Arabidopsis thaliana: one gene and its partners. The protein of the gene in region 4 interacts with the protein of the main gene of each other region in a pairwise test. Each region holds a gene or a part of one and is shown on either strand. Other genes may lie near its edges. The genes, in order: AT4G13530, SULTR1;2, AT1G04360 and WNK3.

What was found.
Region 1: the proteins of WNK3 (region 4) and AT4G13530 interact in a protein complementation assay, tested with the Arabidopsis thaliana proteins (one large-scale study listed by BioGRID).
Region 2: the proteins of WNK3 (region 4) and SULTR1;2 interact in a protein complementation assay, tested with the Arabidopsis thaliana proteins (one large-scale study listed by BioGRID).
Region 3: the proteins of WNK3 (region 4) and AT1G04360 interact in a protein complementation assay, tested with the Arabidopsis thaliana proteins (one large-scale study listed by BioGRID).

The regions. Positions count from the first base shown.
Region 1 is NC_003075.7:7,864,293-7,869,798, reverse strand, and holds AT4G13530 (uncharacterized protein), read right to left. Parts: upstream 3,472-5,506; 5' UTR 2,992-3,471; coding exon 2,305-2,991; intron 1,370-2,304; coding exon 1,244-1,369; 3' UTR 623-1,243; downstream 1-622. Other genes in the region: SMAP1 (small acidic protein 1), read right to left, coding at 5,149-5,337.
Region 2 is NC_003070.9:29,325,724-29,333,544, reverse strand, and holds SULTR1;2 (sulfate transporter 1;2), read right to left. Parts: upstream 6,031-7,821; 5' UTR 5,163-6,030; intron 4,217-5,162; exon of another isoform or gene 3,669-4,216; 5' UTR 3,657-3,668; coding exon 3,336-3,656; intron 3,321-3,335; exon of another isoform or gene 3,254-3,320; coding exon 3,205-3,253; intron 3,119-3,204; coding exon 2,911-3,118; intron 2,816-2,910; coding exon 2,641-2,815; intron 2,548-2,640; coding exon 2,482-2,547; intron 2,395-2,481; coding exon 2,281-2,394; intron 2,177-2,280; coding exon 2,060-2,176; intron 1,973-2,059; coding exon 1,559-1,972; coding exon of another isoform or gene 1,478-1,558; exon of another isoform or gene 1,461-1,477; coding exon 1,270-1,460; exon of another isoform or gene 1,180-1,269; coding exon 1,094-1,179; coding exon of another isoform or gene 1,047-1,093; exon of another isoform or gene 1,001-1,046; coding exon 924-1,000; coding exon of another isoform or gene 897-923; exon of another isoform or gene 812-896; coding exon 668-811; 3' UTR 325-667; downstream 1-324. Other genes in the region: AT1G78010 (tRNA modification GTPase), read right to left, coding at 1-10. UniProt on the Arabidopsis thaliana protein: High-affinity H(+)/sulfate cotransporter that mediates the uptake of the environmental sulfate by plant roots. Plays a central role in the regulation of sulfate assimilation. Unable to transport molybdate.
Region 3 is NC_003070.9:1,166,714-1,170,979, forward strand, and holds AT1G04360 (RING/U-box superfamily protein), read right to left. Parts: upstream 2,322-4,266; 5' UTR 1,940-2,321; coding exon 794-1,939; 3' UTR 575-793; downstream 1-574.
Region 4 is NC_003074.8:17,872,098-17,877,513, reverse strand, and holds WNK3 (with no lysine (K) kinase 3), read left to right. Parts: upstream 1-1,983; 5' UTR 1,984-2,293; coding exon 2,294-2,362; intron 2,363-2,435; coding exon 2,436-2,473; exon of another isoform or gene 2,474-2,577; coding exon 2,578-2,805; intron 2,806-2,883; coding exon 2,884-3,107; intron 3,108-3,186; coding exon 3,187-3,344; intron 3,345-3,427; coding exon 3,428-3,593; intron 3,594-3,746; coding exon 3,747-3,875; intron 3,876-3,963; coding exon 3,964-4,502; 3' UTR 4,503-4,694; downstream 4,695-5,416. Other genes in the region: CYP71A26 (cytochrome P450, family 71, subfamily A, polypeptide 26), read right to left, coding at 86-943. UniProt on the Arabidopsis thaliana protein: May regulate flowering time by modulating the photoperiod pathway.

The DNA of each region.
Region 1 (5,506 bases), on a different chromosome or scaffold from region 4:
GTGAGTGAAGAAAGCTCCACTTTGCGGCATTGCAGACACATGTTATTTATATAATATGGTCCAAACCAAAAGCATCTTCACTTATCCTAAACACACAATAGGAAAATTATGGAATGTCTTATCACAAAACTAATCACACAAACACACATTGTGGCTTGAGTTGATTATTTCTTATGGAAACTGAGATAAAAAGACAAAAGAAGTTATGGGCACTCTCAGGACATAGTACTGAATAGGAAACAAGAGAAAAAGGAATTGAAGTGGTGTTACAGAATATGAAAAGCAGTGTTTTTTCTTCAATCTCCAATTAATGGTGTGGGCTTTGATTGTTTGTCACATGCATCATTAACATGGACCCATACCTATTTACTCCTATTTTTTCTTCCCAATATTTGTAGGTTTTATAGGTTTCTCTCAAACTTTTGGTCTAATTTGTCTTCTTCTCATGGAGGAAATTGTTACATAGGTCTTAAGTTATTGTCTGTGTTTTTATAGACCGAATCAAACATAGCAAACCAAAATTTGAGTATGTTACGTGAAGACAATGGGTAGATTTATCTTGAAGTTCGAATTTTGGTTTGCTTTATTTCCGTTAAACGTCAATAGTTAAACTTCATGAGTATGCTTTAGCTTTGGATCCTTAGTTCCTTACAATACTCACTTGTGATTTAAGTATGATAAGTGAGTATACCAAACTTTGGTGGTACAATGGTCAACGAATAATAGAGTGAAAGAAGACAAAGAAACAAGAAGAAGAGACATATATCTAATCACAATTGACATCGTAGAGTTTAGGATAGCTATAAAGTGAAAGATAGACTCCTACATGGCTACATCAATCAGAAACATTGCCCTCTTCACGTGAACTTCCCTGTTAATTTGGGTTTTTGTCTTAACCCTTTTCATATCTTAAAGAGTCGTACTTTCTAAATAAACAACCAAAATTCCGTTATTGGCTTTTGTCTTTGTACAATCTCTTTACGACACTGCCTACTAAGACCAGCTCAGAAGCTTATCAAGGTTAGATTCTGACCGCAACCTTCCAAAACTGCACTATGATTCTGATCCAATTTGTATTCCACCAAGCAAGTAACAATATATACACACACAGTACAAACTTACAAGCATCTTTTTGTATGTTTTTGTAACATTTTTAATACAATCATATGATACATGCACCAACCACATCAAATCATATAATCTCACATATATGCATTATTATGCCCTCAAATTCACTTAATTTTCACCTTAAACTCATCATGGACCACTGGTTCATACCCACTGATGACGGAAGTGCTGGCCGGATTATGGGCACACGTTTCACTACCGAGATTGCTTCGTTCCACCGAGCAGCATGATTCGCCACCTTCTGAAAAAAGTATTTCATTCAAAAGACAGACAATACAAGAATCAGATGGTGTAAAAATCTTCCGAATTGTGTTCTGAAATACTTAGAACTTTTGTTCTTCATTGCCATGAGTGAAAAAGATGAATACAAGTCAAGCAAGAACGTGAATTTCAGCAGCAAAAGACATATTTGATCCGCCAAGTTATATGCAACCGTAAGCAGGATTCAAACTTGGGTCCTTACTGAGGCTTTGTACCAGTGGAAGATCAGTTAAACTAAACTTTCAGGTTTTACCACTACTTTTATCCATTCCTCAAAGAAACATTTTACGATAAGATTCGTAATATATAGTAACTTCCATCTCTGGCTACCAACATGAAAAATCTACAAAGAATAACTACTGAAAACTAGTCTAAAGATCTTTCAACTATCCTTTAGCTATTAGAAAGAACATGCAAACTCAAAATGTAAAAATAAAAAATATGTTGTTTAAGCATTATAGGAGATGAAACAACAGAGAGGACGGACAAAGAAATAGATCACCCAGGTGGTATTCTAACGACTATTAACACTGCTCTCACCAACTACACATTCTATGCCAAAAGTATCTATCAAGAACTCAACCGATGCAGTGGTGCTATATCAAAAACCCTTAGCAAGATAGTGTAAATGGGTACGAGTGTATGCCTGTTGGTGAATACTATGACCTCGAGTCGCTGGTTGCATCTAAACTACTTAGCAACAAGAAACTGGTCCCAGGACAAACAAGGGGATGATCTGATCTTCTCATTTTCCCCATCAAAACAACAATTGACACTAATAAAACATCTAACTAAGCAGTAAAAGTTGAACTAAGCAGAGCTCATATCACACCAAAAGATCATACAGTAACCACATGACTCATGAATCAACATACTCAAAGAACAATAAACAATCAAATAAACCAAGCTAGTTACCTTATCATCCAAAAGAACCTTAAGCTGCAAGGAACGAGTCTTCTTCTTCATATTGTACAATCTACGCCCTAACATAACAAAACCCACAAATGCTGCAGCCATGGACAAAGACCAAATAGGATTAATTTTCAACACACAATACTTCAACACCTCTATTGGAATTTTCCACCACACAAACCCTTTCTCTTCTCCTCCTCCACCACCAGATTTAACACCAGGATCAATAGAAACAGAGTTTCCTTCTCCTTCCACTGGATGAAGTAAAGATTCTTCCTTTCTCTCATCAGAGCTTATCAAATCCATGTCTTGAGCTATACTTTCACTATATTCAACAATACCCACTTCGTTTCTCTCTATACCCATCTCGTTATTCACATCATCATCCACTAACCTCTGATCATCAAGCCGATCACTGCTTGAATCAGACCATAACTCACTAAAATGCTTCGGACCATAAGGAACATCGGAGCTAGGTTCGATCCATCCTGGACTACCCGATTGAACAGACCCATCTTCATCGTTTGCCTCCAAACGAGACAAACCACTCTGGTTCTCAAGAGAGAAATGATCAAACCTAATCATACCTTGCGTGCCATCATCAATCTCCTCCAAGCTCCTCGAATTGTCATCTTCCGTGGTAGATCTCGAGCTCTGAAGTATTTCCCAGTCTTGAATCTCTCCTTCCATGTCAAAGTTAGGGGTTTTTTCGATCCAATTGAGGAAAAGAAACAAAAGGAGTCTTTGTGTTGGGGCGAAAACAGAACCGAAACGCTTCTTTCTCTGTGTGGAGATCACAGAAACACTAGGTCGTGGTGTTAACGTGGCGTGGTGTGATTGGATAGAGGATGAAGTCAAAAGAGTGGTTTCGTTGACGTGTGGGTTTATGATAACTATATGGATTGACAGTGTATGTTGTTACGGTGGGCCGAGAAGTAGAGGACCTTCAACCGCTTTTGCTAATCAGATATGCTCAACTTGAAACTGGAGGGAGAGGAAGCAAACACGTCATATAAATGCATTTTGTGAAGAACATCATAATTTATTGATACCGAACCAAATCCAATAGAATGTATTTTTACTTTTTACTATTTTACTTTTCGTTTTTTTACTTGTTTTTTCTCGTTCAAATTAGGTGATCGATGAATTGATAATTTAATTGTAATCCGCGTAATTCATATTCCTTCGGTTCTATTTTGTTGATTTTGAAGAAAAAAAAAATTGTTTCAAAAAAATTGATTTTTTAAAATTTTTATGTAATATTTATTAGTTTTTATTAATGAATTGTAAACTTTAATAAAAATAATTAAATTTTATTGGTTTAAAGTGATAGAAAATTGTAAAACACAAAATATAATATATTTAAAATCAACTTTAATATATTTACTTTTGTGTGTTTTTTTCTAACAATCAAACAAAAAAAACAGAGAAAATATTTATTTATTTTTGCTAAGAAACATAGGAAATATTTAATATTAATCGAAACCCAACTTTTTTTTCAATAAATGTTTAGCGTTAATATCATAGTTTAACAAACATTCTTTTTTATAACTCAAAATTTTAGAGTTTAGTCATTAAACCAAGATGTGGAGATTTTATAAAGGTTGAGGTAGGGAGGAGAAGAAAGTTAAGAGGCTCATGGATGGTGGCTTGCAGAGATTTGGGAGTTTTTGAGAGAGTTGATGACGTGGCAACTTGAGAACACATTTGTTAAAAGGCTGAGGTGGGTAGTGTGAGAGGCCTCAAATAACTTTTTTTTTATTAGTAAGAGATTCTGAAAAGAGGTTACCGATATCTAATGAATTGCTATCGAATGTTGAAATCTCATGAAATTTGGCTACACTACATACATACGACTATAAGGCAAGTAACAAAGACTGCTAGGGACTGACAAAGTGACAAGTGACATCTTTATGCTTAGCCTCCTTTTCCTTTCTACCATAGTTGAACATCAAGCACATTATTTCCATCTCAAAACCGGCCCAGAGAATATAATATGACACGATGCAACAACAGAACTTGGCCAGGGGAATTATACACCCCCTCCTACATACCACAAGACAGGAATTATACACCCCCTCCCACATACCACAATACAACACACATTCAGAGACCACGAGATGGTGAATTTACAAGAAATCAACATGGAACAAGATACCATATCCATATAAATCATTGACTGATGTATCTGAGTTACATGGAAGATACAAGAGACTATTTCTCTTAGGCCATTAAATTGTTGGTAGGAATATGTGCTTCAGTATGAGTTCCCTAGTTCACTTAATCACTAGTGGAAAGTTACAGCTTACATGAGGATTTCATCTCTCACCGGGAAGTTTCTCTAGACCCGGTGAGTCACATGAATATCAACACAATGAAACACATCAACACATATTTCAGAGACCTCAGATGTTGAAATTACAAGCAATCACAATGGAATATGGTACCAAATGAATCAATTAGTTTCTATCTTAAGCCAATATCAATAACTTTCACATTCTTCACATACAAATTCACAACATTCTTCACATACAAAGACTCTAATTTTCAGTTACTAAAATACCAAAACACTAAAGAAAATTAGGTTTCAATCTCCAAAAAACATCATCATCTCCAGAACCAAGGAAAAAAAAAACATTCTAAATTTGAGCCAAAAAAAACAATCAGACAAAGCACAATAACACACAAATCAAATGTTTTAGTAATCCAAATGAAGAAAAACATTGTTACATACCACAAACATAAAAATCCCAGAACTTATTACACACTTACTACATAGGTTTCTCCACAAATTACATCAAGTTTAGGAAAAAAAACTGAAATCTTAAAGAGGAAACTTAACCGGATTTAGTTGATATCGGTGTCATCGAAATCATCATCGAATTTGTTGAAGAAATCGGCGTCGGCGAGCTTGTTATCTGAGACAAGTCCTCCTTCGTTGAGTATCTCCATGGCTTCGAGGTCATCAACGTCCATGGCCATCGAAGAACCTGCATCATCCATCTCCGATAACATATCCAGCTGCATCGGCCTCATTTCTCTCTTCGTCTCTTCTTCGTTTTCTTCTTCGGGAAAGATCTAAAATGTTACAGTGACTGACTGTCGAAGTTTTGATGTTGAGGTCATTTTCTTTTAGGCCTAAATGTTGTGGCCCATCTTTATCTTCTTAGGCCCAATTGATGTGGCCCATGTTAATTTTAATCGT
Region 2 (7,821 bases), on a different chromosome or scaffold from region 4:
GACTCACCATTGACACTGCAACCTAAACTCAGGGATAACGCCGACGAAGAGATAAAATCAAAACGCAGCGTTTTTAGTTTTTCACAAAGAAATGGGTCATTGTGAATAAACATGGTTTGGGCTTTTATCCGATAAAGCCCAATAACTAAAAAGGACTTGTAAAATCGCAGTGCATTGCGCTAGTAGACAAGTTAAGAGAAAAAGGAAGCTACAGTGTTACTCCACTCATAAATGAATCTTGCTTTGTTTTTGGTCCACGTTCATATCAAATTGATTTAGTGCTCTAAGGATAGGATCATCTTTTCATTTTTCAACATATGGATAAAGATCATATCTAATCTACTAAAAATATCAATGCATTTTAAACTCCAACTTGTCACATTATTGAGTTCCCATTTGGTTTAACCAATCTATTTCCAGAGATATATAGATCTCTACATTGGATACATTTTGGGGTTTTAAACTTGATTTCATAGAAAAATCTTAATTTATAAAAAGTAGTCAACTTTACACTTGACCCCTTGGTGTGATAGAAGAATCATAAAGAAAGGGTCCAAAGAAATACAATCACTTTCTTAACTCTACTGTTACAACATTTAAAAGAGCATATCTTTCTTCTTCTTCGTCATTATCTTCATTTTCTTCTTCTTCTTCTTTCTTGTAAATTTCAGACCTCGTTGGAGAGTTTTGGACAGCAAGCCTCGACGGCATCAGCCACCGTTAGATAGATATTGTCTTGTCCTAACATGTCGGCAAAGTGCGACAAGTGTAGCTTGCCTATCACCAACGGTCCAGGATTCGCCAGAATCAACTGTTTATCATCACAAAACACAGAGTCAGGTAAATCTTCTTCAACTAATTCACTTTGAGTGCTTAGATTATAATCCTTAAAGAATTCAGTATGTGTGTATATATGTATGTACCTGAATGTCTCTTTTCTGGAGAGACTTGTATAAGTCTTCTAATGCGTGAATACCACTTGTATCGATGTCCGTAACAGCTGAAAAATAATGGTGTTCGTTAATCTTTGTGTTATGAGAAAAAAATTAAGAAGGAATATATATATAGAAATTGGGAGTGAAGTTTAACTTACGTGACATTTCGATGATGAGAAACTGAATCCTAGGTAGGCTTGCTGCTTTTACCTTTTCTTCTTCCTCATGTAGCCATCTCTGGATCCTGTAAATGAAAAAGGGTTTTCGATTTAAATTTCTTGTCAACCAAGTAACAGATCTTGGTTAATATTAAACTTTTGTATAGGGTTTTTACCTTTCTCTAACATAATTTGAGTTGGAGAAGTAAATGGCGGAGTCAACACGAATAGTAAGAACCCCTGGAACCATAGTGGCTTCAGGATACTGTTGAATATTTCTGTAAACCGAAGTTCTTGGAATATTTCCGAGAACTGCAGTTCTAGGTCTTGTTACTTGCAAGAGGATCTTAGCAAACGAGATCGAGACCTGTACACATACAAACATTAGCAAATTAAGATTAGAAGTGAATTAGATTCATCATTATTGCAGCTATATATAGAGGGTTTAGTTTTCTTGAGACTTACGGCAATAAGAAGTCCGATCTCAACAGAAACAAAGATGACGCCAAAGAATGCTCCAATACAGGCGATGAAATCGAGCTTATCAACCTTGAAGATCAAAATAGCAGCTTGGATATCGATCAAAGGAATCACAGCGTTGATGATGATAGCTGCGAGGATGGCGTTTGGAGTGTACTTGAAGAGAGGAGTAAGGAAGAGCAATGTCAAGAGAACAACAATTGACATTATGATGTTTGAAACCGCTGTTTGACATCCAGCCATGAAATTGACAGCTGATCTTGAGAAAGATCCGGTAGCTACGTAGCAAGAAGACATCGATCCAACTACGTTCATCATACCTAATGCTACCATCTCTTTGTTACCGTCGATTTGGTAGTCTTTCATTGCAGCAAAGGTTCTTCCAATCGCTACAGCTTCCTGCGAAAACAGATTGAAATATTCGGGTTTCAATGAGGAACTTTCGTTTAAGAGAGATTGAAGTATGAGTCATTGGTTTGTACTTACTGTTAAAGCGACCATGCCAGCGACTACACCGATGCGGATGCCCTTAGCAAGGTTATCACCAGTGAAGTAGATTAGATGGAACGAGGAAGGGTTGATTCCTTGGTCAAGGTGTTTCACCTTTATTCATAAAAAAGAAAAGAAAAAAGAATCATATTAGGTATTACCACAACGACAAATTGTTTGAAACGCAAGAAACTAGTTAGAGGGAGTTGAGATCTTACGATTTGGACTCCTTGTTTGTCGGCTCGGGTTATGTAGACAAAGAAGGTGGAAACGATAACTGATATCAATGGCGCAATAGCTGGTACCCAGAATAGTTTCTTGCTCTTCTTCCCCTGTTTCAGCATCAAGTCAAGAGAGGTCAGAAACAGATCTAAACAAAGAATAAACTTAGATGTTTTGTTAATAGATATATGTCTTACAATGATCTTAGACGTGAGAAGGAAGGTCAAGAATGATGCACCAATGAGTATAGTCTGCCAATTCCACTGCATAGCCAAATTTATATGAATTAGTAAAGAGATTTACCCAATGGAGGAATCAAGAAACAAAGTGTTTGTATCAGCGTAAAGGGTTCTTACGCCGTGATGAGCTGCTTTGAAAACGGATTCAAGAACAGAAATAATATCAGTTTTCTTGGTGAATTTCTTGATCCCGAGGAAGCCTTTAAGCTGCTGAAGAGCGATAGTGATGGCTGCGCCGCCCATGAAGCCAACCACAGCCGCGTGGGAAAGGAAATCGATCAAGAATCCTAATCTGAGAGTAGTAAGGAAGAAGATGAACATTTTGAGAGCCTTTTCAACCATGAAAGAAGGAAGAAATTGTTAATAGATAAGAGATCAATTTTTTACCTGAAGAATCCAAGGGCTGCTTCGGTTATACCGGCGAAAAACGTAGCAGTGAAGGCAAGGCGGAGATATTCATCTGGACTTGTGTTTGGATCAATCTCAGCTCGAAGCAATGTGCCTAGCAACAGCGAAACCACAGCGACAGGTCCTATTGCTATATCCCTAGAACTTCCCATACAAGCATACACCAATGGAGGAACAAAACTCGAATCTGTAACATCAAGAAACATATTTTGAGTATCCAATGTTTTATCAAATGAGGTCAATCAAGTGTGAGCATGTCAAAATCAAACTTACATAAACCGTATTTGGGATCAAGATTCGCCAACTTAGCGTATCCAATATCCTGAAATCATCAAGGAATATACATAAGAAACAAGCAAGTACAGATAACTTGTGATACAAGTACTTGAGTTTAGGTTTTTCACCTGAGGAATGCAGAGACTTGCAATGGTTAAACCGGAGATGAGATCACCTCGGAACTTCTTGAAAGTGTAGTTACGTCCCCAATCGAAGACCGGGAAGACGGATTGGAGACCGAGCATAAACTGCTTAGACTTAGGCTGATCCTTAAAATCCCTAAGAGGATCATCATGAAAGAAAGTTTCTTTGAATGTGTACATGAAATCCTTGAACATGTTTTGCTTTGGTGGGATTCCAACTTTATGCCGAGTGGGTGAAGGTTTCATCGGAACATGTCCACCGTCCGTCGCCGGACTTCCGTCCACAGGGTGAGCTCTTGACGACATAGCTATGTAACTCTGCAAACAGAACAGGAGACTACTTAGATTAGTACTTTACTTTGCAAGTTTTTGAGATTATATAAATTGTGTGGATGGAGTAATGGTATCGAACCAGGAGAAAGGATAGAGATAATTGGGTTGAAAGATGACTTTTAAGTGTGAATTTTGGAGCAACATTGATGAAGCTTATTTATAACGAAAGTTTAGGATAGTTTTGTTTTAATTTAATGATAAGAGAGTGGTGGTCATATACAATTTGATGAATCTGGATTACTAAGAGACCAAGTACATTAAGAACATTGAAAAAAGTCTAACTAGAAAAGATGCAATTTTTAATTGGCGTTGATCGACATTAAAGTTTAAACAAATTAAGTCAATGGTTTCTGTGGCAAACTTTGTGTGCAATACTGAAAACAATCTCAATTCAATGATCTCGTTTACTTTTTTGCTATAAGGAGAGATAGTTGACCAGAATAGCCACGTGGCACATAGTGAGATTTTTTAAAAATGCAACAGTTATCCCTCAATAAACGAGGAAGAACTAACGTTAATCATATCCTTTCGTTTTTTTTTTTATAAAATAATTTAATTTTAGCTAAGAGTAGACGAAGAGAACCTTATTAATTAACATTTGATTTCTGGATTTTTTTATCATCGTTTTGGGTTGGACATAAACTTTAGAAAAGGACTTAAGAAAACTTAGAAAACAAACCTAACTGAACAGAAATTTGGAAAGAATACCTAAAAGGCTATTATATAAAACCTAATTCATATGTTCTTTTTTGGTGGTTCTAATTGGGACTTGATCTCTTGTCCAAACTCTATGTAGATGTTCTGTCAATACCAGCATATTGACTTGTTCATTAGAATGCATTAAACCAACATTTTAAATCACCCATTTTTTAGACAAAAGCTTTAACTTGTGCAAGTTGATGGACAATGACATGATTATTATAAAAACTAGCCGCAATTCATTTTCAACCTAAGTTTTTCTAAGGAATTAACCGGCGTTTTTCTGTCACATAAGCCAATTTCGATCACAAAAAGCTATAAAAAATAATACGATTCTCTTTTCTGACTAATTTTTATATACTTTAAAACACAAATATTGTAATCAGTTTTTGCTGGAGCCAAAGTGAGCACCACATGTGTTGACTTTGTAATGTAGACAAGTATGCATGATTGATAGTGAGTTAATTAATATTCTACCGATCGAAGAGACGCTGTAATCGTAAACTCCTACACCAGACGATACCTCTTCAACATTTTCCTAGTTCTATTCATTATTGTATAATTGCCAGTTATAAAATTGGGTGATTAATCTGATATCTATACACATAGACAAAAACACAATTGAAAAAGGAATCAACTAGTATTATACTATTTTCACCAAAAAAGAAGAAGATGATTAAACATTATATGCACGTGTATTCTATAAATGAGAGGTTTCAAAATAAATTAATTGGTGTTATGCATAGCCATTGATAGTTGGAAGGTGAAACACCCACTTACCTGGAAAAAGAAGAAGAAGAATTCGATCTCGCTTTTTAGCCTTTTTCCTCCAAATTAGACCTTTTACGTGATTTATTTTAATTTATTAAAGCGAAAAGGGATCTTAAAAAGTAGAAACAGAAAAGAGAGAACGATTTAAGAATTAGAGAAAAAGTACACGAGAGATATTAGTTAAAAGCCTCCCCTTTTTAGATTTTAGAACACCAGATTGTTCATGTTCACTATTCTTTTCTAAAGTTTTAAAACAGTAAAATCAGTAAACCTGAATCATGTCCCGGTTCACTGAATCACTCTCTCATCAAAATACAAAACGAAAACCCTAGTATTTTGTGAGAAAAGTACAAAATTTACAGAGAAAATAGATTTTGCTTCAAACTGGAAAAAAATTCAAGAAAGATAAACAAGAGATAAAAAAAATTATTTAACAAAAGTGAGGGGAAAAAGAAATATAGATCTGAGCTTTTATAAATTTAATGTTTTAAATTGGAATAAACATTAAATTATAAGAGATAAAGATCGTGATTACGAATATTTGGCTTTTTTAGGAGAAAAAAATATAAAGGTGATAATGACAGAAGTAATGGAAACTAAGCAAGAACATCAAAGCGGTTAGATCAAATGATTTTACGACAATGCCACTGGCTCCAAATCAAGAAAAGCGAAAAGGTCAAAAGTTAGGAGCGTTTTTTTTGGGGGGTGAAGTTGACTTTTATAGAAACTGGTGGGCCTCGTTTGAACGTGGACTATAATGTGGCTAGGTTCGTCTTTGGTACAATTAGCCATTGACTACGTGTTCGCTACGCGCTAGATAGTGCTTTGGTGGCTACGAGCTATTTGTTCTCCATGTTGGTTCACGGCCAGCCACACACTATCTTACTATAATTTTTTTTTTTTAAATGTATATTCGTCAACTATTTTGTCGTTGTTTCTTTTTTTTTTTTTTGGGTATTAAACTGAATGTCCTAAACAGCTGTTATAATCTGTTTAGATATGTATTATACGTTATCATCAATCTCAAAAATACGTACCCACGATTGAAGTCGGTAACACATTATGTTTTGCATATGTATGCATATTATAACAAGTTTCGATTTGTAAATTTGTGAATGTAACACTTTAAAAAAGAAAATGTAGATGTATGTATGCATATTATATGCTTCATATCATGGGCCAAGTTGAGAAACCGAACCAAGTACCAACCAACTTGAGAAACCGAACTACCAAAAAAACATCATGGGATATTGGGATGTAGGACCAACTACACTTAAATATATATCCGATGAATTCGAAACTATATATATTAACATGTTTCTCTAGCTACACAAACTTTCTACGATGTGAAAAATTGAAATTGAGTTTTTAAATATATACGTTTAGGGTCGAACTTCAAAATTTGGTATAGTTTTAGGCTGACTTGAAATGATATTTGGGCATTTGAAGTATACGAGAGCTTAATTACGTTTATTGCATTAAACGATATACAATTTTGGGTCACAGACTACAGAGGAATCTAAACGTTTCTTTTAAAACTTTTGCTTGTTTTGTTTGGTATATAGTAGAGCTTTGCATGTGAGACTTACCAATAAATATTACTAAGACTAAAAGAGATTTCGTAATTGTAGAACCTCCTGACCCATAAGTTTTCGAAACGACAATACTTGCTGATTTTATACAGATAAACTAATTTATCATAATCGTTTGCATGTTTATTCTTAGCTAATTCTTAGTCATCTTCGTTTGACATTATAAACCATTATTTTATAGCAATTTTACATAAATATATTTAGATATTGTACGCTATTTTAGATCATATTAAAAAAATGCATTCTATTTAAAAATAACCATACTTAAGATTATTTATATATACCGGTATTAATAATGTTCTATAACATCCTACGAAGCATTCAACGAAGATGATTAAGAATTGTGATAACCATGTTAGAAATTGCGAAAAGAACAAATCCGTACCAACCAGAAAAATAAAATAATCGATCGGTTTCTTATATTATGAGAGACCAAACGTTTCAAATTTGTCGGGGGCATATAATCGACTAAAAATTTTCAGGTGCCGCCTAAAAATGGGTAATATATTTATCTAGTCAACCGTTCAGTTTCTATACATGAATTTTAATCATAGTATATGCATTTCAATCTGTAAATTAGTCACGATTATGTTTGACAAAAACAATATTATGTACGTATGAGTATGTTAGCTTGGTTGGTTAGAACTCTCGTCTATAAAGATTTTTTTATTTATTAAATAGTTTATCGTTTTGTACCGATGAATAAAGTTTATAAAAATTATTTTGATTGGTTGTTCGACATCAAGTACCAAGTAATGTAACATTTGCATGTAAAATATCAAAACATATACTACATCATAAGTTTGCCATCGCAAACGCTGACAAAAAGTAGTTTCTTATTTTATTTTTAAATTTTTGTTAAGGGACAAAAAGAAGTTTTAATTTAAAGTATTTTATAGAGGTAAAATAATGTGAAGTGGTCTTTATGACTAAATTTAAACGCAGCAACCAAAATTCTTAGAAATGTTATGTTTTGTTCGGATCTAAACCAACTTTATTCACATGTTTTTAGTATTTGTTAACTCATGATTCTATAGAATAATCTATAACTATATTTTATAAATAAAGTTCTGAAG
Region 3 (4,266 bases), on a different chromosome or scaffold from region 4:
TGTATAATTTTAGTGAATGCTTTAAATTGGGAATAAAGGTTCAAACTTGATCAGCATCTTGTCAATCACAGTTTCTTGACTAAATTGAAACTAGCAATACCAAAAGAAAGAATTATATACAAGCTAAAGTATAATCAGTAACCAAACTAAACCAGTAGCAAATGTTATTGAACCAAACAAAACCGATCAAAGATTGCTTGTTGTAGCCAACCAAGGCAAACCTGCAACCATTCGGTACTTAGCTCGCAGAAAACTGATCAATACTATCTTCACGGTCTGAGGATCCACGCCGGTTTGATTGCAGAAACCGATTTTAGGATTTACTAATTCCTACGCCGGAAAGTCGTCATGCTCAGTTCCTCCTCTGTCCGATTTGATACGGACCTTAAAGGCGAGTCTGCGGCGACAAAGATTTATTTGGGCCTTTATGCTTTTATGCATTTGGGCCTTTATGTGTTTAAGCCGTTTGGGCCTCACAGGTTAGTTCTTTGTTTCCTTTTTTTTTTTTCCCTGCAGTTCTTTGTTGGGATTTGTTTTCGTGTAACTCGTTTAGTGAAAAACACTATTTATTCAATTTTCAGAAACTTCTGTAATTACTATTCAAGTAACTCATCTACTCCTATGACTTGTAAACATTGAACATGTGTATTTGACAAAGAAGAAACATGTACACTATATATCTTTCTCTCCTACTTCACCTTCCAAAATATTTTTTTTTAAATTCACCTCAGCAAATAACAAATACAAAAAATAATTTTTTTGAACAATGAATCAAGAAGAGGAAAATACAGAATTAGGGTTCCAAATAAACAGGTAATATTGAAGAACTTTTTGAAGTTCTACTACTTCCAAAAGAGAAGAAACATCTCTTCATGACTCTGCTATTACCACCACCACTACTGCTACTATCTTCACCGTCTCCAGCTACCGGAATCTGCCTGTTTCTCCGGCTGATTTCCTCTTGGACCGCCAAGTACAGCTGACGATCCACTGATGAATCCATCGAGATCGATCTTCTTATGGGCTGAATTTCACCAAAATGACCATCTTTGCCTCTAGTATCGATACATTCGTCTCCCATACTCGTCACTTTGTGAAATTTCCTTTCTTTCTTATACATTCCCCGATTACCAAACTTTATAGGCAAAGGACTCACCGATTTCGGGCTGTTTCCGGTCGAGACCTCATTCGAGGTAACCCTTTCTTGCTCCGTAAGGAAGTCTATGTTTCTCACGCTTTCTCTGTTGTTACCATTACTGGCCCCAAGCTCTATGACGACGAAGTCATCATCGCCTCCTAGAACCAGGCCGGGTTCGAGATTCCTGTTCCGAGAATGAGGGCTATTCTCCCGAGGAGAGCTCGGTGCAGAGATTAGGTCAAGAGTGAAACTTGCTTCGCAAGAAACGCTGGTTCTGCACAAGGGACAATTTGCGTTGCCCTGAAGCCAGATATCAATGCAATCAATGTGAAACACGTGGCAGCAGTTAGGAATAATCCTTAGCTTCTCGTCTTCTTGAAACTCGTTTAAACAAACAGAGCATTCTTGAGAGTTCTTACTCTGATCTTCTTCTCCTGCAACAACGTCTCTCTTCTTGAATTTGAAGACTGGGATAGCTCTAATGGCGGATTCGTCTAGTCCTCTGTTTACCTCATGAGGAGAGTAAATCATTAGAGGGTTTTGGTCACTGCTTCGTCTGCGGCGGCGAAAGATGTCGATTTGGTGCCAATTAAGACAGCATTTGATCACGAAGATGTAGTAACTTACAAGTAAGAACGCAGTGGCTAAGATTCCAATCACTGCGATGGCCAGAATGGGGAAATTGGTGCCGGAAGAGCTTGTTCGTGGGAATATAGGGCTTGTGAAGGTCGTGGATGGCGGCGGAGGCGGCGGCGGAAAAACAAGATTGTTAAAAGGGTTACGACGGTCTGTTAGATCCATTTGACTACAAAACAATCTAAATGAAAAGCTCCCTCTAGGATTTGAAGGGAAATATTCAGTAGAAAACGAAAAAAAAAATCAAGAAATCAAGTAATTATTTTCTATTGAATCTTTTTCCTCCCTACTCTGAAAGTGTTTATATATACGTAATTGCGTGTGTAAGAGAAAGATCAGAATAGTAGAAGAGATAGTGGTAGAGAAGAAAAACAGAGATGAAGTAATGAAATGAAAGAGAGAGAGAAAGAGTTGGTGAGATTTCAGAGGCTCTTTCTTATATGACTCATTTATTTATTTAGGTTATCATCTTACTTTGTTTTTTTCATCATTTAGGTTATCATTTTGCTGAATCTTTTAGGAGTTTTTTTTTTTTCCTCGATCTATGTGACTTGTTTGGTGTAAGAGTTTTCTTTTTATTTAAACATTTTTTGTAGTACTTATGGTGAGGAAAACAATAAGGAAAAGCTTACTTATATTCAAGTGGAGTAATTTAATTGACATTTTGAGTTGGATCTTCTGATGATAGTGAAAGTTTTGTTTGTCCATGTAGATTACGTTTATATTAAAGTCGTATGTAGTATAATGATGATATAATTGGATTCGCTAATACAGTATAGTGGTCATTTTTCAATAATTAGAATCTGTGAACTCCAGCTAACCACACTTGTCGGTTAATTAAATTGATATGTTTAGACAGACTATATATTTTGTGAAGGATCCTTTGAAAATGTAATAAATTTATCTTATTCAGAAGAATATCTGCAAGTAATTTGCTCTAAACTATGGTTCAAAATAGATAATATGATAGATATCGAAGATCTAGTTATGATTCGAAACGGTCCAAGAAAGATCCCCGAAAAAGACACAAGGTTAGTAAGACTTATCCTTTCTCTGTCTAATCCCGTCAAAATAGAAATAAAAGAAAAGTCAAATCCACCGCAGAAATAGTTCAAAGTTTTCGTTTTGGTTTTCATCTTTTATTAGTTTAAATATATAAGAAATGAGATGAGATGTTAAAAAAAACAAAAAACAAAACAACAACTGGTAAACAGAAATAAAAAATGATAAAGAAGGACAATGTTTCCATACTCACTAGTCTCTATCGTGTATTTATGTTTGACGAGTTTGGCTCACGACAGAATAGAACATAATAATAGGTCCGGTGAGAAGTATAGTTTCGTTTTATATTTGAACCTTTTTCTCTTATCAATAATGTATTGTCTTTAGCAAAACAATTGTGACTATTTTTGTTAGTTGTTTGAGTAATTTTGGGTGTACGTATTTGTGTATTATTTATCATCAAAGTGTATATAATCGAATTTTAGATGGACTTATGTTCTATAATACGTTAGAGGATGTATAAATACACATCTTTAACACAAAAAGATATATAAATACACATCGACTTATGGCGTTCTTAGTTTTGTCCTAACATAATAAAAACGAAAACGTGCCCACGACGGAGACAACCCTTAGTGGAAAGTAATTTGTTGTTTTTGCATTATTTTTATTTTTATCCAAACAACTAATATTCATAAGTGGCTCCCGATGAAAATCCGTAATCACGATTGTCAAAAGAAAAAAAAAATATAGTGGGAGAAATCACAAATCGACAAAATTAGATTCAGATCCATGTTTACAAATTTTTTTAATTTTTTTTTTTGTTGAAGTGTTGCATCAGTTAAACCTAAAAATCGACAAAATCACAATTGATGCTTCGGCAGTAATTACAAATAAACAAATACTACAACCAGGGCAGAGCAGCAGAAGAATATTTCATATAGAACTTAGTGACATTGTATTACTTAAATTTAAACTTTCTTAAATCACCATTAAAAACAGTTGATTCATGAAACTTGTGAAAAACAACTCATCAGTAGTTTTCACATGGACTGACAACAGCTGTGAAAGCTTTTGGTTCAATTTTGGGAGGATTTTACTAGAATCCAATTATTTGTACAATTCAAAACTAATATGAAAAAAGAAATCTAGGCATCTCATTAATATAGTAGAATTTTGTTTCCGCATTAACAATTGACTTTGACTATAGACTACTCTTTTAAGAATGAGGTCCTGAGGATCATCATCATGCGCCACGTCGACGACTCAGGTCAACACAGCAACGGTGAGATGGATCAGCATTCAGCAGCACGTGATGCTTGGTCGGTCACGTGTGTGCGTCAGACCATCATCGATACACGTCGCTCCGAGATATGAACTCGATCTCTATAATTTTCTTTGTTTTGTTTTGATGTTCGAGATTCTATTAGTTGCATTGATCAGGATCGTCTTCTAGCCCTACGCTACACTATAAAAACATACTTAACTGG
Region 4 (5,416 bases):
ACATCATGTTGTAAAAAAAAAAAAACATTACACAATAAAACATCATAAATCTGAATTGGTATCATTCAAAAGTGTGTTTCCTCACCATGACAATTGCCTTTATGCTAACACGGTTGATTTCAAACCCGACGGTCTTATCTCTTTGAATAGCGAGCAATACATCCACAAAATCAGTCATATCTCTGTTTCCATCGACATGATCTTGCACAACTCTCTCAAAGAACTTATCAACATCGTTTGCCGTCTTTTCTAGTTGACAGTCTAAACCGCGGATCCAATCAATCCACGCAAGCCAAGGTACATAACTCCCCACACTAAACGTCCCCAATAGTTTATTTAGTCTCTCCATTAACTCCTTAAAATCCGTTTCACCACCGTATTTCCGTCCCAAAGCAACTTTACATATCACATCGTTAGTTAAACTCACCAAGATCTTGCTTAGATTTACCGGCAAAGAAATCGATTTCCTGATCTTTTCCATCATCAGACTGATCTCTTCTTCTCTCACTTCTCGAAAGGATCGTACCATTTTGTTGCTGAATAGATGGAGGACGCACACACTTTTCATTTGCCTCCAGTACTCTCCATAAGGAGCTGAGGCCACATCATGCTTATCGTAAAGAAGTTTCTCGAAGATTTTTGACCGTGGCCGGCTTGCGAAAACACGGTCATGCGTCTTCAAAACGTCTCTAGCCAATTCAGCTGAAGATACTACAAGAACGGGGACACGGCCAAAGTGAAGAAGCATAAGAGGACCGTACCGGTGGCTGAGAGAGCATAGTGATCGGTGAGGGTGGCGGCCGAGTTGATGAAGGTTTCCGATCAACGGTAGTCCCGGTGGTGACGGAAGTGTGTTTCTTTTCTTCCCTCTCTTCTGTTTTCTGAAAATTATGATGGTAACTACAAAGATTATTGAGCATAACAGAAAGAACATGATCATCATGTCTGGATTCTTCAAGTACATCAAAACGTGTTCTTGTGAAGAGTTTTTATTTGTGGTTTTTTTGGACTTACATATACAAGCCAAGTTTCTTCACGGTAGTACTAGTACGTAATTACTGTCCACTCAATCTTTTGGACTTATGTATTTATGCATGCACCAGTCTTTTAATGTTTAGTTCTTCGAGATTTTTCCTTGTGAAAGTCATTTGGTGCGTTTACGATTTATGTCTTATTTTGGTCGTGTCACCGTTCTAGTCTTTCGGTGCTTCCACGATGTGTCTTACCACCATACAATACAAGTGCCTAGGATAATGGTCTCAGGCTGCCGTCAGCTCTAAGGATTTATATACTCTGGGCCCAATGGGCCTTACAAAAATTTGATGATCATTGTATATAATCGGTTTTTAAACGGCTGAACCGCCAATTCATACTCATCAAAAATACAACGACAACATTGTTCAACAAACAATTCTCCATGAAAATTTAAATGTCCTAATTCGTCTCAAACATTCTGTCTCCAATATGTAAAACATTTATATTTTGAGATATAAGTAGAAGTAATAGATTATAACAAATGATCATAACATTAGTGTAGTGATTTGTGTCAGTACAAGTTTCTATTTAAAGTGTAACAACATTGAATATTTATGTTTCACCAAAAACTATGACTATTATTCTATTAATCCTGAGAGAGAGAGCAAAACCCTTTAGTGAAAAGTTTCCTTAAGTTTAAAAGAACTGAAGCTGAAGTCCAAATTGTTGTTTACACACAGTAAAATCGAATTCGTTACCATGACAAGCGGGTTCAATGGCTAAACATTTTGTAATTTACCAAACCCATTATTCGATTTGTAGGATAGTCAATTATAGGGTTCTTAGTCAGCTAAAACAGTGACTTAAGAGTTAAGAAGGGGAAAAAAAAAGTCCGAATATTTTATATTCACAACACCATGAAGTTGACTGAATAAGCAAAATAATTGATTAGAGTAACATGACAATAAATGAGAAGAAAATCAAATAAAAAACCAGATCCATGGCGCGAAAAAAGCAACGACCCACACCTTTGCCACGTGGTCTTGTCCAGTGGATCTGAGTGTCCTAAATTCGAAGATGAGAAAGAGAGAGAGTGTACAACATTCTACAGTCGACACCATTATGATCAGCAGCTGGAAAAGCTTAAGCTTGGTTTTAATGGCACAAAATCTAAATAATCGATTTATACACAAAAAGACAGCTAAGTAATGATTATTATTATTATCAGAAACTGCTTCAAAACTTGTTCTTCCTTGACTAAATTTCTCTCTTCTCTCAAGAACTCCTATCATCTGTTTTGAATTGCAAGTAACCAAGAATGCGACAAGACGAGAATAACTCCGAGGAAGAATTCGTTGAGATTGATCCCACTGGTCGCTATGGCCGGGTCTGTTCTTCTTTACTTGATTTTAGTGTTACCTTTTTCTCAATTCTAATGTTTTTGTTTCTCATGTTTTCAGTATAAAGAAGTTCTAGGCAAAGGAGCTTTCAAAGAAGTGTATCCTTTTTCTTAGATCTCTGTTATTACTACAGAGACAAATCAGATTAGATTCGGACAAGACACAGTCACTAAAGGGTTTCTTTGATCAGAGAGTTCTTCAGATACAGAGCATTTGACCAACTTGAAGGAATCGAAGTGGCTTGGAACCAAGTTAAGTTAGATGATAAATTCTGTAGCTCAGAGGATTTAGATCGTCTTTACTCTGAAGTTCACTTACTCAAAACCCTTAAACACAAAAGCATCATCAAATTCTACACTTCTTGGATCGATCACCAACACATGACTATCAATCTCATCACCGAAGTCTTCACTTCCGGAAATCTTAGACAGTCAGATTCCTCTCTCAGAAGTCAAATCAAATCTTTTTTATTTGATCAATATTATTCATGTTTGACAAACCCTTATAGGTACCGGAAGAAACATAAGTGTGTTGATCTAAGAGCATTGAAGAAATGGTCAAGGCAGATCTTAGAAGGGCTTGTTTATCTACATAGCCATGATCCTCCTGTGATCCATAGAGATCTTAAATGTGATAACATTTTCATTAATGGGAACCAAGGTGAGGTCAAAATTGGAGATCTAGGGCTAGCCGCGATTCTGCACCGCGCTCGCTCTGCTCATAGCGTCATCGGTGAGATCTTTAATCTTGTTCTCAAACGAAAAAGTTTCTCCATTGTGAAACTATAATTTTGTGTTTGAAATTGTTTAAGGAACTCCTGAATTTATGGCGCCGGAACTCTATGAAGAGGACTATAATGTACTTGTCGATATCTACGCGTTTGGAATGTGTTTGCTTGAGCTGGTAACTTTTGAATACCCGTATTCCGAATGCACAAATGCTGCTCAGATTTATAGGAAAGTTACATCGGTAAGTGATCATATTCCCATCTCATATCCAATCAAGAATGACTTTTTCCATATTGTCGATCCATTTTTCTCAATGCTTCTTAGGGAATCAAACCAGCCGCTCTTTTAAATGTGACTGATCCGCAAGTGAGAGCATTCATAGAGAAGTGTATCGCAAAGGTCTCGCAACGCTTGTCAGCCAAGGAACTACTTGATGATCCTTTTCTGAAATGCTACAAGGAAAATACCGAAAACGTCAGCTCTCACAAAGGTAATATCAGATTATGGTATTTCATTTCATCTCAATATGAAGTGTCATGGACTCCTTTCTTAAAAGTTAAAATCAATAATAGTAACATAAGATAGTTTCTATATTTTTTCTATGTGAAATTTTCTAACACCAAGTTCAATAACATTGTCACAGAAAATGGTTACAACGGAAACGGAATCGTGGATAAACTCTCGGATTCTGAGGTAGGCTTATTAACCGTAGAAGGCCAACGTAAAGACCTCAACACAATCTTCCTAAAACTACGTATCACCGATTCCAAAGGTTCAAAATCTTTTTTGCTTTTTTTATTACAAATCTTCAGATCATTACTAAATCTTCTTTTGACACAATAATAACATTTTTTATACAGGTCAAATCCGCAATATCCACTTCCCATTTAACATAGAGACAGACACATCTTTCTCAGTCGCCATCGAAATGGTCGAAGAACTAGACTTAACCGATGATCAAGACATCTCAACGATAGCTAAAATGATCGACACAGAGATACATTCACACATCCCCGATTGGACCCCTTCTCGACTTATCGGTGATGATTCAGCGGTACAAAAATGTTTGTCTTCTCCAGAGACGCTCCATTTAGATAGATTTCCTTCAGGGAGAAAATTCTGGTCCTCTCCTAAAGCTGGAGCTGGAGACTCACGTTCACCGTTTGCGCCACGGTCTAATTCTAAGTTGTCGTCAGCACAAGGACCGATCAATCAAGAAGTTGGGGTTATAGTAGAGAAACTTGAGTCTTTGTTGAGGAAACAGAGAGAGGAGATTGAAGAGATGCAGAGAGATCAAGAACGTATTGTTACTGAGTTCTTAAAAGAGTTTCCTCCTGAGATTTGTGAAGAGGCTTTGGTGAGATTGCAAGTTAAAGATTCTGATAACTTATTGTGTTAGTACGTTTTTTACATTACACACTCTCGTCAAGATTAATTTGGTTTGCAATATTATGTTGTACTAAAGGTAAGTAAATGTGTAACAAAATTGTGACAGTTATGATTGAAGGAAAACTATTTGTCAAATAATATTTCTTGAATTAGTTAGGTGAAGACGTAACTAGCTCAGAAGAGTCTGGGAGAAGAAAAGAACGCGGTGATGATAGGTCACATCACTGTGTTCTTATTCACTTGATTCTTCTGAGCTAGCCTCGTCCTCTTCACCCAACTCTTATGAACCTTACTCGTCTTCACTGGACTCACTTGCAGAGACTCTAATAAGGTTGTCTTATGATCTATGCTCGCCTCTCATAATCTTAGAAGAAGATATAGAGCGGTTCATATTTTGTTCTCTCTCGCCTATTAGGTTTAATGGGTACTGGTGTTTCTTAAATAGCGTATGCCTCAAGATAATATATTAGGGTTTCATAGATAATAAACCTAATCACCAAAACATTTGGCATAAATGGGCTAAAAGCCCAAAATTTCATAAAACTACCTTAAAACATCTTTATAGGAAAGAAAGCGTTTCAGGGAGTAAGCAAATATAAGCATATGGCAGCGTCAAGGACTCAAGGGATCCAATCAAAACTACAAAGAGCAAATAAATAATCAAAACAAAAACTGAAATAAACTAAATTCTCATACTTGTTCAGGAATTGGTTTCTGATCCGTCGAAGCATGCACTCCCTTGCTCTGCCATGAAGAAAACATTTTTCCGATCAATTCTAGGGCACCGAGAAAAGCCCTCAATTTTCATAAGAACTAAAATCGAAAAGTAATTTAAGTTAAATTGTTCTTGTTGGTAAGCGATTCCGGGACTGGACCCAAATATCTGGCATAAATGGGCTTAAAAGCCCAAGCCAGAATAAACCA